Linked DNA regions of Tribolium castaneum. The protein of the gene in region 1 binds, or shares a complex with, the protein of each later gene. Links are inferred from orthologs where the notes say so. Each region holds a gene or a part of one and is shown in the gene's direction. Other genes may lie near its edges.

Region 1 (4,393 bases):
TTTAGCGAAATAATAATTGCGTTTCTACAAAAAAATGTGCAAACAAAGAACTATATTGACAAAATGATGTCATTTTCAGGACGGTTTTATAAAAAACGTCCAATTTTCAGTCCAATTTAGCGAAATGTAATTGATTAATTTAACTGCTCTTACATTTAAAAACTACTTACATGTTTACATGCCGCTTGTCCCCCTTTCGCATTTTAAATTACCTAAGACATTTTCTACAGAGTTTCGTTTTATTTGTTGGATTTTTTAGAATCATTTTCGAAATGTCATACGTCAAATTGAAAAGAGCGCGCGCATGCGCAATGATTTTCAACGAGGATCCCTTTCTTGACTAAAATAAAAGACTTTTCATCTAATATGCATTTGATATTCGTTATTTATTTCCTATCAGTGTCTCAGTTTTGCTTGTTTTTATCTAGCAGATTCTTCAATATTGCACAGAGGGGTAGAATGAATAGAAAAAGTGAGAATGTGCGACAAAGACAGACCCATTATTTTATGAATTAACGTAAAATTAGGCACGTAATTGTAAAATTTGTAAGCATTTTGATTGGGCCGTTTGAGGTCGGCCATCATGGTATTACCGAAAACCAATCACCTTAGATTTTTTGATTCATTCAAAAATTTACTTTTTGAATATCATTGGTCCACTTAAGGTCGGCCATTATAAAAAGTGAACAAGCCAATCACGTTAAATTTTGAGATTGATTCATTTTTTATTGCGAATGGTTAGTTTAATAAATATGAAAGCAGTCAATAAACAACAATAAAAAATGTGCATTTAATCAGGTCTTGCAAATTACAACGGAATCGGTCGAAATTGTACCTTTTCCAGTTGACCAACATCATAGAACACACGAATAAATCAAAACTAATGTTTGTTTTTGACCTCATTTTGGATTTTTCGGTTCTGTTTCTCAAAAACTTACGAAGAAGACATTATTTTGGTTAATATAATGTTAATTCTTGCGTTTCTAGCTAGCTAACTGACTAATCCGTTTTTTTTTATACAAAACAAATAAGCATCTGAGTTTTTTTCTATTTATTGTCTTTTTTTTAAATGTAACAATTTTTGGGCTAATTTGGTAAATTTTTGACATGTTTTTAGCAAAATGGGGCAAAAGTATTACTTTACGTACACAGTTGATTAACAAACAACAACAAAATAAATTTTCTGATTAATTTTTGAGGAAATTTTTTGATTGAGTTTCTGACTGAAAAAAATTGTAAAATGCAATAATTGTAGCTTTTGACCTTTTTCTGGGTTTTTACTTGAAAAATAACACTGTTTTTTAATTATTTTGACCATTCGGTAATTTTTTGACCTATAAGTTATGTTATTAGTTATTATCGAATTATGTTCCTTGATGATTTTATATCAAAAAATCTAATTCCACTAAATAGATCTCCAGATTAGCATCTGAAAATAGTAATTCGGTGTTGCCAACTTAACTTCAAAGTTACAGATCACGGTAATATAATATTATAATTTAATTGTGTTTTACTACAGTCGAACGAAGTTGACTTTGATATTCAAAAGAGACAAAAAGAGATAATAGTTAACGTCATTGGCTCCCAAGACAAACAGAAAGTTATCCTTACGACAAACGTATCAAAAGACAAAAAATACAGGTAAAAACATAGTCAACTTGGCGTCAATAAATTGTTTTTTTAGTACGGAAAGTCAGTCATACGCCGTTCCTGTCCCCTCTCTCGAATTTGCATCATTGTGTTTACGTAACGCTTCCACTTTACTCCCTTCCGATACAGTATCGTCCCCTATTCCCCTTTTTTTGATCCCCGGGGGAATCCCCCCTGTCCCATCTTGTAGTCCAAGCCCCGCACCCTCTTCACCCCTATCACCCGAAAGTGTAATGAGCCTCCGTAACAGTATTTTGGCAGCAAGTGCCTACGTAGCCCTCTGTCTAGGCGACTATATTTTAGCACTAGAACATGCGGAAAACCTTCTGCAACAACCGAGATTATCGGGTGCCCACAAGTAATTTTCACTTAAATGATTCATTTCGATTGAAGTTAATTTTTAGACTTCTTGGTCACTTGTACTGTGCTGAGGCGCTAGTTTTGTTAGACAAAATTTCAGAAGCCTTGGAACATTTAAACCCCGAAAATGTCAAACATATTAATTTAGAATTGCCAAAAGGGGACGAAAATGAAGAGAAACGGATTAAGACATCGCCGCCTCTAAGTCTGTATTTGCCACAACTTGCGGTTTTTTGCTTACGTTATTTTTAGAATGGTTTCCGCATAATCTGCCCACTGCGATTGCAACGATGCAATATAATTTCGCGGTGGCTAAGACAATTAGAGGCCAACTGGAAGACGCCATAGGGCTTTTGAAACAAATCTGGCAAATGAGCAGCAAATGTAAAGTGCCAGGACATATAATTATGCTACTTTTGTACATTGAACTTAAATTAGGTGAGTTGGTTTATTTTGGTGTAAAAGCATTTACTGTTTTTTAAAGGACGACCGGAACCAGCCAGGAAATTAGTTAAGCAGTACTTATTCCAAAATAGGTTGTAATAAAGTGATTTAGAAAATTAGTTTAGTTTTATTTATTTATCAGGCGAAAACACGTGGAAATACATCACTCGCTCCTTCGTTGCTCGTAAGTAATGTGCTGGAAAACTGTACCAACTTTGCAACAAAAAACTTTTTTATTGTCCGGCAAGTGATGTGGCTAATTGAATTAATATGATGATGTAAGTGGTGACACCTCCAAGGATCTAAAACATGATTCTGAATAAATTGTGCTTTTTCTTATTGTTGAAAGGCAGGTGAGAAAAACTCACGGAGAAAACCAAAGTGTAATTAATTGCGAAAAACCCAGCTGCGTTAAACTCCACTTGCTCGTTGGCAATTTGCAGGGAGAACATTTCAATTTCGTCTCTAATATCGTGATCTTCGGTGTCAATTTTATGAATAAGTTCGCCCGCTTTATTTGCCTGGAAATGTGCAACTTGTAGTTTTTTTCAAGAATTACTCAAAATACCTCTTCAATTGTTGAATAACACACATCGCAAACATACACAACGTCTATAACGAACGTAACATTAGACAAAATAGGGTTTAGCAAGCTCATGAAATACAGTTCGCCCGCTTGGACATTAGCCGTGAAAAAAAATATCGTAATGACGATAACAACAAAACTGACCCCAAACATAAGAAGCAAAACGATCCCGAATGTCTCATTGAACAGTTTCACCAATTTGGATAAGTGGTGGTGAAGGGCACAAATTTTATTCAGCGTGTTCAACTGCTTGTTTGTGCCTTTGGTCTCAACGGGACCTATTTTATTTTTTTGGAAATATTCGATCAAGTTATTGATTTGCTTGTTCAATATCACAAAGCGGATTTTCAACATTTTGACCAATTCAATCGTCTGGTGGCAAACGGCCGAATTCATGGCTAGAAGAATGTACGCCATTGCCTCCACAATCATAGTATCACCGTTCAAATTAGCGATAATTGCCAGAGTGCCAATAATCACCACCAAAACACCAACCCTGCCCAAAGACTGGACCATAATCTTCCGGTGAACTCTGTGATAATTCACCTTGATGTTCATTGTTTGCAACTTTGAGTCAAAATCGACAAGTTTCAGCAAAAATTCGACAAACATGTCGCGTTTCGTGATTGCACAAATCCATGCCGTTACCACATAAACCACATTCAAGCCCAGGATTATGATATTTGTGGTTTTGTAAATCATGAAAGAATCGTAAGTTGCAGTTGTGTACACGCAGTACAGAATCATGGGGACGTACGTGAAAATGGACAAAATGTTGAGGCAGAAACGCAGACTTGAGGGCCGGAATTTCGAACGGTCGGGTGTGAAGGTAACCAGGCCGAAAATACGGCTCTGGAATAGCAAAATTCGGATCGAGTTGACGAATTTTTGGTACAGTTTTTGGAAATCCGACATTTTTGTGGCTACGCCGGAGGCTAATCAAGCATTTTATTGTTTTAGATTAATCGATACATTTGAATTATTTATGTGAAATTAGCTTGTTGTATTTTTTGGGTCATTTGGCAACAAAGACGACGATAACTGAATGAGGATAATGAAATAGGTAGTAGCTCCACCAACAATCTGAAATTTGACGTTTTTGGTGATTTAGTTTAGCAGATCGGGTGTCTTACTGTGGAAAGTAAAGTATGATCTATTCGGAAAAATCCAACTGCGGTGAAACATATGTTGTGACTTTCAATTTGTTGTGAAAACATTTCAACCACGTCCATGACGGTCATATTCTCGCTTTGAATTTTGTGAATAATTTTCTTAGTTTGTTTGGTCTGAAACTTATGATTTTTCCTTTTTTGAGTGTTAATTAGTTATTACCTCTTCAACGGTGTTGTAGCA
Region 2 (5,505 bases), about 5.3 Mb from region 1:
AACTGTGCGAATGAGACGGCAAAGACTCGGGATTAATTCTCTCGTGAAGAGCGTTAAAATCCGACTCTCTTTTACCCCTCAAATACACAATTGCCAGATTCAAGTTTGCAAAAGTCCACAATTCGCGCTCGCGTGACGTCTACAATTTTTTGGAATAAAATAATATTGGGCACAGTTTTTATAATTACGTGTAAGGCGGCCATGAACTGCGCCTCGGCCGCCTCCATACAGTTCATACTCATGGAATAAAGCCCCAATAAAGTGTGCAATTGTGGTCCGTGTGTCTCTAACAACTTGGCATTTTGCCGACAAAGAGCCACAGCTGAGGAGATTTCTTGCAAGGCTTGAGTCTTGTTACCCATCACAAGACGACACATAATTATATGTTCGAGTAACATTAACTGGAAAACCGACAAAATCGGCTTATTATCTACAACTGTTAGAATTGTTGGACGTGTCAGATAAGTGTACAAAAACCAACTTTTCAATTTCTCGATTTGCATTAACGCCTTATCGGTGTATTTCTGGGCCTTTTCCATATAACCGGCCTGCATACTGTGCATCACAGTTACCAAATAAACCAAAACGTAGAGATGCTCTTTGGGCATCCATAAGAACATATCGCCAACACTTGGCCCTGTAAAAACATCATCCGTTGCCATTATTGTTTGTATGCTTTGTTGCAACTGCTTCAGGCAAGGTTTTACGCTTTTTACCTGACCGGCCATTAGACAATGGCACACCTGAAAATTGCTTTGAGCACAAAACCAATCAAATTGAGTAACGGACTTGCAACACCAAAAAATACACTCGGAGGTATTCCTTCTGGTACGCAGCGCCTGTCCAAGTTTCAATCAAGTGACCGGCTTGGTTTAATACTGGCTGGACTTCTTGCAACTTTTTGTCAATCAATAATAACTAAAATTACAATTTTAGCCCAATTTTGTGATTTAATTAAAGTCTTACCATTCCTTTACTTAAAAGAAACAAAACTCGAGTGTAACAAGCATTCGAGATGTGGGCATAATCCACCCCAACACCCAGCAGACTACTGGCCAACTGGTAGTCTTTCTCAGTTGCGTGAATTTGCTATAATTTTACAATTAAAATAGTTCTGCCAAATTGTATAATTAATTACCGCAAGCTGGAAAATTAGCCTGCAATGCCAGTAAACATTATGTTGCGACAACTCGATCGCTTTCCTCAAAATGGGCTTAGACAGCGAAATTTGCTGCTGTTGTTCGTACAATTCGGCCAAAACGCTCGCCGCTTCGAATTTAACATCGTCAAAGGTGTTGATCATTTGTGACAACAACCACTGAATTCAATCACGTCCAAATGAGTGTTAAATCAAGGGGCGCACTTACCGCTTGTTCCAAGTGGTTTTTCGCCAAGTCCGTGTTCTTGGTATGGGTCAAAAGTATGTTTCCGAGTTGTAAATGAGTGCGAGCTTCGACCCGCGGCGGTGGTTTAAAATTAAACACAGCCTGGAGGCACTGGATGCAGAGCTTGATCATAGGGGGGCTCGAGGTGCGGAAATGCTCGGCTAGCCCCAGGAGGGACAGGTACCAAGCGTCTTGGGACGAAGCCATCGCGAGGGATTGATTATTTTACACAAAATTCGCACCCAAACATGGTTTTTGCGCAAAATTGAAATATTTTGGGTCGACTGTCAAGCCAAACGCCAAACACCACACATGGGCGAAAATGCGGCGGTCGGGTCCGCATAAGGTCGAAAACTCCAACTCCCATTCATTGATTATTCTAATTAATCAACTTATTGATTATTTCAGTTGATTAGTTTATTGAATATTGCATTAAAAACTTTTTTCCTGCTTTTTATTTTTTTATTTTTGACGAAAAACACGGGTTTAGGTGTGTTTGGCCGACTAGATTTTTCGGTCTTATGGTGATAAATGTCAATGTCCGAATTGGGTTTATAGGTTAGAGTATATAAAATAAATTTCGTAAAAATAGGTGTTTTATTGCAAAACGATGGCCCTCACGGTGGAACAATGTGATATCTTACTCGAGTAAGACCAGTTCAATTTTGGCGCCCTTTTAATTCAGTTTTTGTAGTATTTTGGGTGAGACAAAGGTGAGAACCCACACTTTAGAAAGCCTTTCGAACGAGTTGCACAAAAAATTCGACTCTTGTGACTATTTTAAAGGTAAAAACCGCTATTTGATTACCCAAATAACTGTTTTTTTCAGTCGGAACTTGTCTGGTAATGATGCTTCAGCAAGATCTGTTGAAAGAGCCTGAGCAAAAACTTGTTGCTATAACGCTTCTGTATGAGTTATATCGGGGCGAAGCTCTGGCAAACACCCCTTTTGCCAACGTTTTCAACCACCTTTTGGTTTGTAATCACAGAAATTTAGTAATTGTAACATAGAAATTATCCTAGCACCCCCCGGAACACCAGAGTAGTGTCGGGTCCCCCAAACAGGAATATCCAGGCCAACTACCCAAACTGACACCACCAGAAAAACAATTCTTAACGCAACTGTTATCAGATGTGCCCAAAGATGCTGTAAGATTATCCAGGGCCTCCCCTGATAGGAAATTACTAAACGATTTTTTTTCTTCAAGATTTTGAAAAAAACAGCCACGCAAATAATCAATTCAGACGTTGGGAATACGCAAACAAATTTCGATTTTTCCGTTGTACAATTACTACTAGCCGAAAAACAGTCTGAATTGCCACACACTTGCAAAACAGGAATTCCTGTAGTTTTATCACTGCCTGAAAAAACTAACAATTATACGACAGAACGGAACGATTATGCAGCCCTTGTGAAAACTATAGCAACCGGTGATAACGCCCCCATTAATAAAGTGTACAAACCGGAATTTGTGACACTAGCACCGCCTTTGCTCAACACAGATGATGAAGTAAGGTTACATAATACAGCTTCTTTGTTTAATGCTATGGAGACGAAGGGAAATTTCCATTAATCAAGGAAGCTGTGATAATTTATTACTACCCTTGATTGTGTTTTTTAAGATGGTGTGGCTAAATCCGACAAACATCAAAGAACACACTGTAGCATATGACGTGACGATGTGTGTGCCTGACACAGCAGGCCAGGAGGCGAGACAATTGATGAACAAGGCGTACAAATCAGCGCTGTCTTTGCAACAGCAGCAACAACTGCTAGGCGAGCTGGAAAACGACTCAAAACTTGTGTACCACATTGGTTTGACTCCGTCCAAAGTATGAATCGAAATTTGGTGATTTTCGCTGATTTGAGTGCTTGCAGTTGCCCGAACTGGTGGAAAATAATCCACTTATCGCGATTGAAGTTTTGCTCAAGCTTATGCAATCGAAACAAATAACGGAATATTTCAGCGTTCTTGTCAACATGGAAATGTCGCTGCATTCCATGGAAGTGGTAAATCGGCTCACAACGACCGTGGATTTGCCCACAGAGTTTGTCCACTTGTACATTTCGAATTGCATATCGACTTGTGAGACTATCAAGGACCGTTATATGCAAAATCGGCTGGTTCGACTGGTTTGTGTGTTTCTCCAGTCGCTCATTCGCAACAAAATAATCAACGTCCAGGAGTTGTTTATCGAAGTTCAGGCGTTTTGTATCGAGTTTAGTCGCATTCGCGAAGCTGCCGCTTTGTTCAGGCTATTGAAACAGTTGGAGTCGGGGGAACAGATCGGACTTGTCTCCTCGCCAACGATAATGAAAGCAAAGCTCGAGGGTTGATTATTTAATGGAACTGTATCGTACAATGTGGCAGGCCGTGCTGTAATTTATCGACGATTTTTTCCCTCTCTTTGACGTACGGCAGATCGGCCAGAATCAGCTCTTTTAAGTTATTCAACGCGTTGAGGTGACTCAGCCCCGGCTCTGTTATATTCAAACACTCGGTGATTTGTAAATAAAGTAATGAGTTTTTTAAAACCGACAGCCCTTTCAACGCCTCATTCTCCAGATAGTAGCACTTGTGGAAAATGATTTTCCGGATGTGTTCGCACCCCACGAAATGGTCAAACCCGTAGTGCATTATGCTGGCTTCAGACGCGTTCACTTCCACGATGTGTAACCTAATCCTGTCGCTCGGCAGTTTGTTATAGTCTGTGAGAAACTCGTTGCAGTGCTCCCACTTGACGTGGGCCCCGTTCCGCAACAGCCACTCGGCACAAGACCTGTCAGGCCCCACTTGTTTCCGTCGTTCGTCGTCCACGCGGTTGAAGACGATGTTCAGCCAGTGGAAGAGGGTGCGCGTGTGGGGGATGAGCGGCCTTTGGAGGTGGCTGAGGCGAGTGAGGAGCATCTTATGTCAAGGTTTCCCCTTTGGTGACCTTCAGTTTATTTGTAAATAAAGCGCAGTGTTATGTAAATGAGACTTACACAAGCTTCCAAATAGTCGATCTTTCGCTCGAGAGTTGTCAACTTTTCGTTTAAAACGGCGAGTTTTGATCGACAAGATAAGTCTAAAAATAATTTTTGCGAGGTGTCAACAGTAAGGGGAAACTTACCGAAAGAATTGAGGAAATCGGTGATCTTTTTTATGCTGACGGTTATCACTTCGATGTATTCGCGGTTTACCCAGTCTTGTTGGATGGGCTTGGGGACTGTCTCTCCTCTAGGAGCAGCCATTTCCGCAAAAATACCGAAATTGTTGGTTACTTTTTAGGGAGTTTCAGTTTTTGCTTGACACTCTAACCCTCTCTCTTATTCTATGCTCTAACCTCGAAAAAGTTTCAAACAAGCTCGCTATTTTCGTAATTTAATTAAACAAATATTTTTTTTAATTAAATACTAAGTGCAAATGATTCGTTTTGTACGCTTTTGGTTATTTTCGAGTCTAGCTAATAAGTGGCAAAAAGTGCATTTGTAGGTTAGGCTTTTCCAAACAAGTTATTGTTTTGAGTGAATCATGAAAGACTCAAAATTAGTGTTGAAGGAGGCACGAGATGCCATCAAAAACAAGAATTATGAAACTGCCTTGAAACTATGCAAGGTAGGTGAAATTTTTATTATTTATAAGGTGTAGGGGTTGGTAAAACTGTCATAATTTACACTAAAAATTAAAAATTATCCGGTTACAAATTTCTAAAAAAACTTTGAAATCTGTTACCAATTGAAATAATCATTTGCGATCATTTCGAAATTTTGTTGCTAAATAGTCGGAGTTATCCGTTTTTTTTTTGTAGAAATTAACTTAATAAAATTAATAAAAGCATTGGCAATTTAAAATACTTTTATGTGTTCACTATTTTCTGATGAATCCAATCATTGTTTGATTCATTGTTTTTTTCTTTTTTTTCTTTGGACTGCACCTTTGTAGCAATTAGTTGCATAAGCGTTATCTTTAATTATGTTTGTTAGTGTGTGCGATTGTATTTTTGCAGCAAATACTGAAAGAAGAAAAGAACAATTACATGGCCCTTGTCTTCCTGGGAGTCTCATTACAGGAAACCGGTCAAAACGCCAAAGCTTTGAAAGCTTTCCAGGAGGCAATCGAAGCAAACCCTTCAAATC
Region 3 (5,328 bases), on another chromosome or scaffold:
GAGTGGTCTTATGGAACTTCTTTTTTAATATACTACTAGAATACAAAGACAAAAAAATCAGTTCACAGTATAATCGAATTACCAGAGATACTAAAACCAAAACACTTTTAAATAAAATAGAAACAAAAGAATTTGGTTTTGTTTATGACAAATCAGTTATTCTTGAAAACTTTGATACAATAACATTTGGATATTAATTTGATAAATAAATTAATGAGTAAAAGTTATCTCCAAAAAAAATGATTAAATTCATGAGTCCAATAAAAACTTTGTCATTTTCTGGAGCGTAGACCGTTTAGGTATGCACCGAATTTTTCAACTCACATAATTCCCTTAAATAAATTTCATCTTCGGCTTTGCCTCTGGGGTGGCCCTGCCAGTCTTTATCTTTTTTAGACATAAGTAGTTCTATATTAATGCTAATCCTCCATTTTTGCTATAACAAGGATAATCCTAACTTAATAATGTCAGTTCCCGGCGCCTCCACCATATTTTACAGGGTGAGATTAAAAGTCATGTGGGTGGTGTTGTAGAAAAGGTTTATTTACAAAAAATGACTACATTGAATGAGAATGCGTACTTACACACTTGGTACCACAAAATAACCACGATGTAACAAGACTAATCAACACCAAGCAGGACTAACCAGGACTAAACTGAACTCCCCAATATTCCGCGTTTTTATTACGTTTTGAGAAGTTGAGTCGACAGTATTGATGACGTTCTAGTGTTCCACTTATGAACGACATCGCAAATGAAACCTCTTTTCGAAACATAATTTTTGTTACAGAATATTAGATAATAAAAAACTGACCCGATTTCCGCGTATGTTACAATAATAAATACTGTTTCTCTTTTAAAGCTGTTAACCTTCATAAAACAAAACTGTGAATTTGTGGATATGATCGAAACGAATTCATTTTTGTGTTCAAGTGGCCTAATAGAAAAACAGGGCAAAATCTTTGAAAAAATGTTAATTAAAAATATGCTTTAAAAACGATGGTTTTTTCACGATTTTTTCTGATTTTCTGTTTACCTCTAAAAATAAAGATGTTTTCCTTAAAAAAGTAGCTGTGTTCACTAGGGGCCCCCTTAGTAGTTGAAAAGTATCGGTTCTTTGCATTTTTCTCATAAGCGGTAAGCATATCAGAAGAATGAGTCAGGTAAACGTTGTAGATCATGCAATCACCATTTTGAGATTTTGCGGCTTCAAAAGTTAAAGTGGTAAAGTCGTGTATAAGAAAGTGACTTGGCACTTTTTTTAAACGTGGTTTGCCACACAAGTGTCTCCTGATAAAGAAAAGTTGATTTGTTTCGAGATTTTATATTTTTTTATTTATTTTCAAAGGTTTATCCCTCGCTTTCCACGCAATATTAATTACAATCAATGTTGATTTGTTGAGTCCAAGCAAAAAAAAGTCAAAGTAACGTGCCGTGTTTTTCTACCTACTGGCAATAATTTAAATTTTAGTTTCAATTTAAACCTCTTATTTATTTTCACTCATTGTCCCAATTTTTGTGTTTTTCAACTAGCAGAACGTCTACCATTACCCAGGGGGCTATAATTCAATGAAAAACTGAAGACGTGAGATGCAACAAAAGCAAAGACAGAGTCATCCTTTTATGAATTAACGTAATTAACGTAATGATTGTTGTAAAAGTTGTAAGCATTTCGATTGGGCAGTTTGAGGTCGGCCATTAAAATTAGGGAGAAAACCAATTACTTTACTTTTTTGGATTCATTGAAGAATTACGTTTTTGGATATGATTGGTCCATTTAAGGTCGGCCATCATGATAACGTGGAAAACCAATCACTTTGAATTTTTGGACTCATTCATAATTTAATAAAATAAGAATGGTTAATTTAAATTATAAGAGCAGTCAATAAATAAACGGTTTTAACTCCTACAGATAAAACTACGCGTTCCAAACGAACCGTTTGGCCTATGCATCAAATGAATTGGGAGAAATCCAATTACCTTATTTAAATTGTTGGTTGCATACTTTATAATTAAAACGTGTTTTTTTTTTGTTGACCTAATTTTATTTAGTTCAATTTATGTCATACTTATTTCATTGATTTTTTTAAAACAAAAAATTATTATTATAAACACTTTTTATTTGAAATAATATAAAAAAACGGGTTCGCTTTAGCCAGACTTCGGGAGTGGAGTATTTGACGTCCGCTTGAAAATATCTGTCAGTTGTCAGTCTGTAATCTTGTAAAATTTGGGGTTGTTAAGGGTTGTTTGTAGTGTTTTCGTCTCAATTTTGTTAAAAATTCACTTCACACAACTAACGTACAAAACATTAAGTAATTGTTGAAAGCAAACGTTTTAGTTTGGAAGTAATTTTTGTGGGCATAGCCTAGCATTACAAAAAACGCTAATTTTGGAAAACTGTGGTCTTGTATCAAGCCAAAATCATGAGCACTCAACCGAGTCCAGCAAACCAAACCGTCGAACGCGAAAAGGTTTTCCAGTGGATTCTGGAACTCACTAATCCAGAAACTAGGGAGAATGCCCTTTTAGAATTAAGGTGAGCGTTTGTAGTTGTGGGCAAACGGTCCAATTTTGGCTATTTGTAGTAAAAAACGCGAAGTTGTACCTGATTTGGCCCCAATGCTGTGGAACAGCTTTGGGACAACGGCGGCTCTCTTGCAAGAAATCATCAATATTTATCCCGCAATAAATCCAGCCACGTTAACTGCTCATCAGTCCAACAGGTACCAAGCGCACAATTTGAGGCAAAACTACTTGTTTGTAATTTTTTGTAGAGTTTGTAACGCTTTGGCGTTGCTCCAGTGCGTGGCCTCCCATCCGGAAACCAGATCTCAGTTTTTGTTGGCACATGTGCCTCTTTTCCTCTATCCTTTCCTGCACACAGTTTCCAAAACTCGCCCTTTTGAGTACTTGAGACTGACAAGTCTTGGAGTAATTGGTGCACTTGTCAAGGTATTTTTCTGATTATTTTTGTTGGCAAAAAGTTTATTTTATTATTGTAGACTGATGAGCAGGAGGTCATTAATTTTCTTCTGACGACTGAAATAATTCCCTTATGCTTGCGAATAATGGAGTCTGGATCTGAACTAAGTAAAACCGTTGCTACCTTTATCTTGCAGAAGATTTTGTTGGACGACAGTGGCCTTTCATACATTTGCCAGACCTATGATAGGTTTAGCCACGTGGCTATGATTTTGGTAAGTTGTTACCAATGAAAAGTGAATTTTAGGTTTGTATTTGAATTTTTAGGGTAAAATGGTTTTGGTTCTGGCGAAGGAACCAAGTGCTAGGCTTTTGAAGCATGTTGTAAGGTGTTATTTAAGATTGTCAGATAATCCAAGGTACTAGATATTTTTCTTGTTTGTTTCAGGTTGTGCTAATTTTTCTTTGCTTTTTTAGGGCTAGAGAAGCATTAAGGCAGTGCCTCCCTGATCACTTACGTGACAACACATTTACCGTGTGTTTGCAAGAAGATAAATCAACGAAACATTGGCTTTCGCAATTGTTGACGAATTTAGAAACACCCGGTACTTCAGAATTACGTCAAGGGGGAATATCACCCTTGACGTCCCAATAGTTGAAAATTGTGATTTAATAACGTCTTTCTTTAGTTTAGTTCAAATATCAAATAACAGTAGAGTATGAAATGTTACTTTTGGACTAGGATTTACGGTGTCTTAAAGAACGAGACAGAATTTTGCAAATTTAGCAGTTTCCATTTATCAGATTCTGCCTTGTTTTTTAAGATGCCAAATGTCCTGGTTCACAAGTCACATTTTATACTCTACTAATAACGAAAGCAATCATTGTATTGTCCTTGTAAATATGCCAACAGATCATTTTACTTTGTATCTTGTTTATATCTTTTAGGATGCCTGATGTGTATTATTTAAATTTTTGTGAAAAAAATAAAATATATAATTTAAATTATGCTGATTGTTTAATTAAAAATACCATAAATTAAACTCGCTCCATAATAGGAAACCAAAAGGCACGTAATATCATTCGAAAAATAAAATTACTTCCCAGAGTTTCACTTTTTCTTCCGCCAAAAATTCTTTACATATTAAATCCTATTTAATTAAACAACTTTTTATATAGTATTGAGGGATATTTACGTAATAATTAATAACTTCAACATCTAACTCGAATTTAATTAATCTTTTGGTTTAACTTATGTCTATATGATTTACATTTTTTAAGTTTAACTTTATAATTGAAAAAAGTATCAAAGTGTACTCTAATTATAAATTCAAATGGTCATATGGTATTATTATTATTATTATTTTCCCTTATTTACTGGAAATGCACGACCAGTATAAATCACAAATTTATAATAGAATATAAGATAAGGTAAATAAAAGAAATCATCCAATGATTAAATACAGTGGCGAACTCTAGATTATCACATGCTAAATAAAACAAGATGGAGGGCAGTCGCTGTACTGAAGCGCCATCTTTTTATATAACAAGTCTAAGGATAAAGGCCAACATCCGTTTAAAAACATTCTAAATTCACACTTTTTCTACAAAGCTACTACTTACTTCAGTTGATAATTTGTTGTAACAAAGATTTCTTTTAATAAGAAGTGAATTTTGAATCGATATTAAAGCATTTTAATGCAAGTCAAAGATTCTTTATAAGTATTATCCCTAAGTCTATTACTAATCTCAAAGTGTTGGCCCCTATCCTTTTTATCTTATTTTTGTAAAAGTACAATTCCTTATACTTTTTATTATAATCGGGAATACCTATATCCCAGACTTTCCTCAATTTGTATACCTAAGCATTCTTAAAGCTTCTCTTAATGCACAATGATTTTTTTCTGTTCCTACTTTAGACAGGTACAAAGAAGAACAATTTCGATCTAATTGGCGGATATTTTCAGAAAGTTTCACAAAATAAGTTTCACGATAAATCTTCAGATAAATCTAGCGAAATAAAATCGGTTTTTTGGCTTGGTGTAGCCAAATTATGCAAATTAACAGTTTTTGCTTGCAATAAGTATTAAACTAAAACTAACTGAAACATAAAAAATAATTTTCGACTTTCGTAGATAATTTCTTGGTCTGTTTGAGCAAAAGTTTGCTAAGAAGGTGAGCTGTTAGATTAAAAATGTGATTAATTGACAAAAAACTTCAAAAAACTTCTTAACTTTATAATTATTACTAGACCCAATTGACACATTATCTAAGTAATCGGAATGTTTCGTAAAATAAATGAGTTTTTAGCTGAAAATAAGGTAGGTAAGTTTCGACATAATTCGGTGATTTATTGGCCTGTTTTAACGAAATTTTGTATGCGTTTTAATAAATCATTTGATT

Evidence for each region.
Region 2: Not10 (region 1) and Not11 share a complex: the UniProt entries of both Homo sapiens proteins name them as parts of the CCR4-NOT complex. The link is inferred for Tribolium castaneum from reciprocal best matches to the Homo sapiens genes CNOT10 and CNOT11.
Region 3: Not10 (region 1) and Rcd-1 share a complex: the UniProt entries of both Homo sapiens proteins name them as parts of the CCR4-NOT complex. The link is inferred for Tribolium castaneum from reciprocal best matches to the Homo sapiens genes CNOT10 and CNOT9.

The regions. Positions count from the first base shown.
Region 1 is NC_087396.1:15,625,907-15,630,299, forward strand, and holds the end of Not10 (CCR4-NOT transcription complex subunit 10), read left to right. Parts: intron 1-1,519; coding exon 1,520-1,641; intron 1,642-1,684; coding exon 1,685-2,008; intron 2,009-2,054; coding exon 2,055-2,215; intron 2,216-2,262; coding exon 2,263-2,448; intron 2,449-2,494; coding exon 2,495-2,546; coding exon of another isoform or gene 2,547-2,553; exon of another isoform or gene 2,554-2,573; intron 2,574-2,596; coding exon 2,597-2,642; 3' UTR 2,643-2,687; downstream 2,688-4,393. Other genes in the region: putative gustatory receptor 28b, read right to left, coding at 2,688-2,756, 2,823-2,975, 3,023-3,556. UniProt on the Homo sapiens protein: Component of the CCR4-NOT complex which is one of the major cellular mRNA deadenylases and is linked to various cellular processes including bulk mRNA degradation, miRNA-mediated repression, translational repression during translational initiation and general transcription regulation.
Region 2 is NC_087396.1:20,954,353-20,959,857, forward strand, and holds Not11 (CCR4-NOT transcription complex subunit 11), read left to right. Parts: upstream 1-1,891; 5' UTR 1,892-1,995; coding exon 1,996-2,033; intron 2,034-2,079; coding exon 2,080-2,171; intron 2,172-2,214; coding exon 2,215-2,360; intron 2,361-2,408; coding exon 2,409-2,534; intron 2,535-2,593; coding exon 2,594-2,896; intron 2,897-3,008; coding exon 3,009-3,218; intron 3,219-3,264; coding exon 3,265-3,723; 3' UTR 3,724-3,727; downstream 3,728-5,505. Other genes in the region: MAU2 chromatid cohesion factor homolog, read right to left, coding at 1-139, 189-743, 790-918, 967-1,089, 1,139-1,318, 1,368-1,592; ATP synthase subunit s, mitochondrial, read right to left, coding at 3,728-4,294; HSPC300 (probable protein BRICK1-B), read right to left, coding at 4,296-4,322, 4,372-4,454, 4,500-4,620; superkiller complex protein 3, read left to right, coding at 4,901-4,984, 5,376-5,505. UniProt on the Homo sapiens protein: Component of the CCR4-NOT complex which is one of the major cellular mRNA deadenylases and is linked to various cellular processes including bulk mRNA degradation, miRNA-mediated repression, translational repression during translational initiation and general transcription regulation.
Region 3 is NC_087398.1:10,414,880-10,420,207, forward strand, and holds Rcd-1 (CCR4-NOT transcription complex subunit 9), read left to right. Parts: upstream 1-2,215; 5' UTR 2,216-2,426; coding exon 2,427-2,539; intron 2,540-2,588; coding exon 2,589-2,726; intron 2,727-2,777; coding exon 2,778-2,955; intron 2,956-3,005; coding exon 3,006-3,200; intron 3,201-3,252; coding exon 3,253-3,344; intron 3,345-3,402; coding exon 3,403-3,580; 3' UTR 3,581-3,933; downstream 3,934-5,328. UniProt on the Homo sapiens protein: Component of the CCR4-NOT complex which is one of the major cellular mRNA deadenylases and is linked to various cellular processes including bulk mRNA degradation, miRNA-mediated repression, translational repression during translational initiation and general transcription regulation.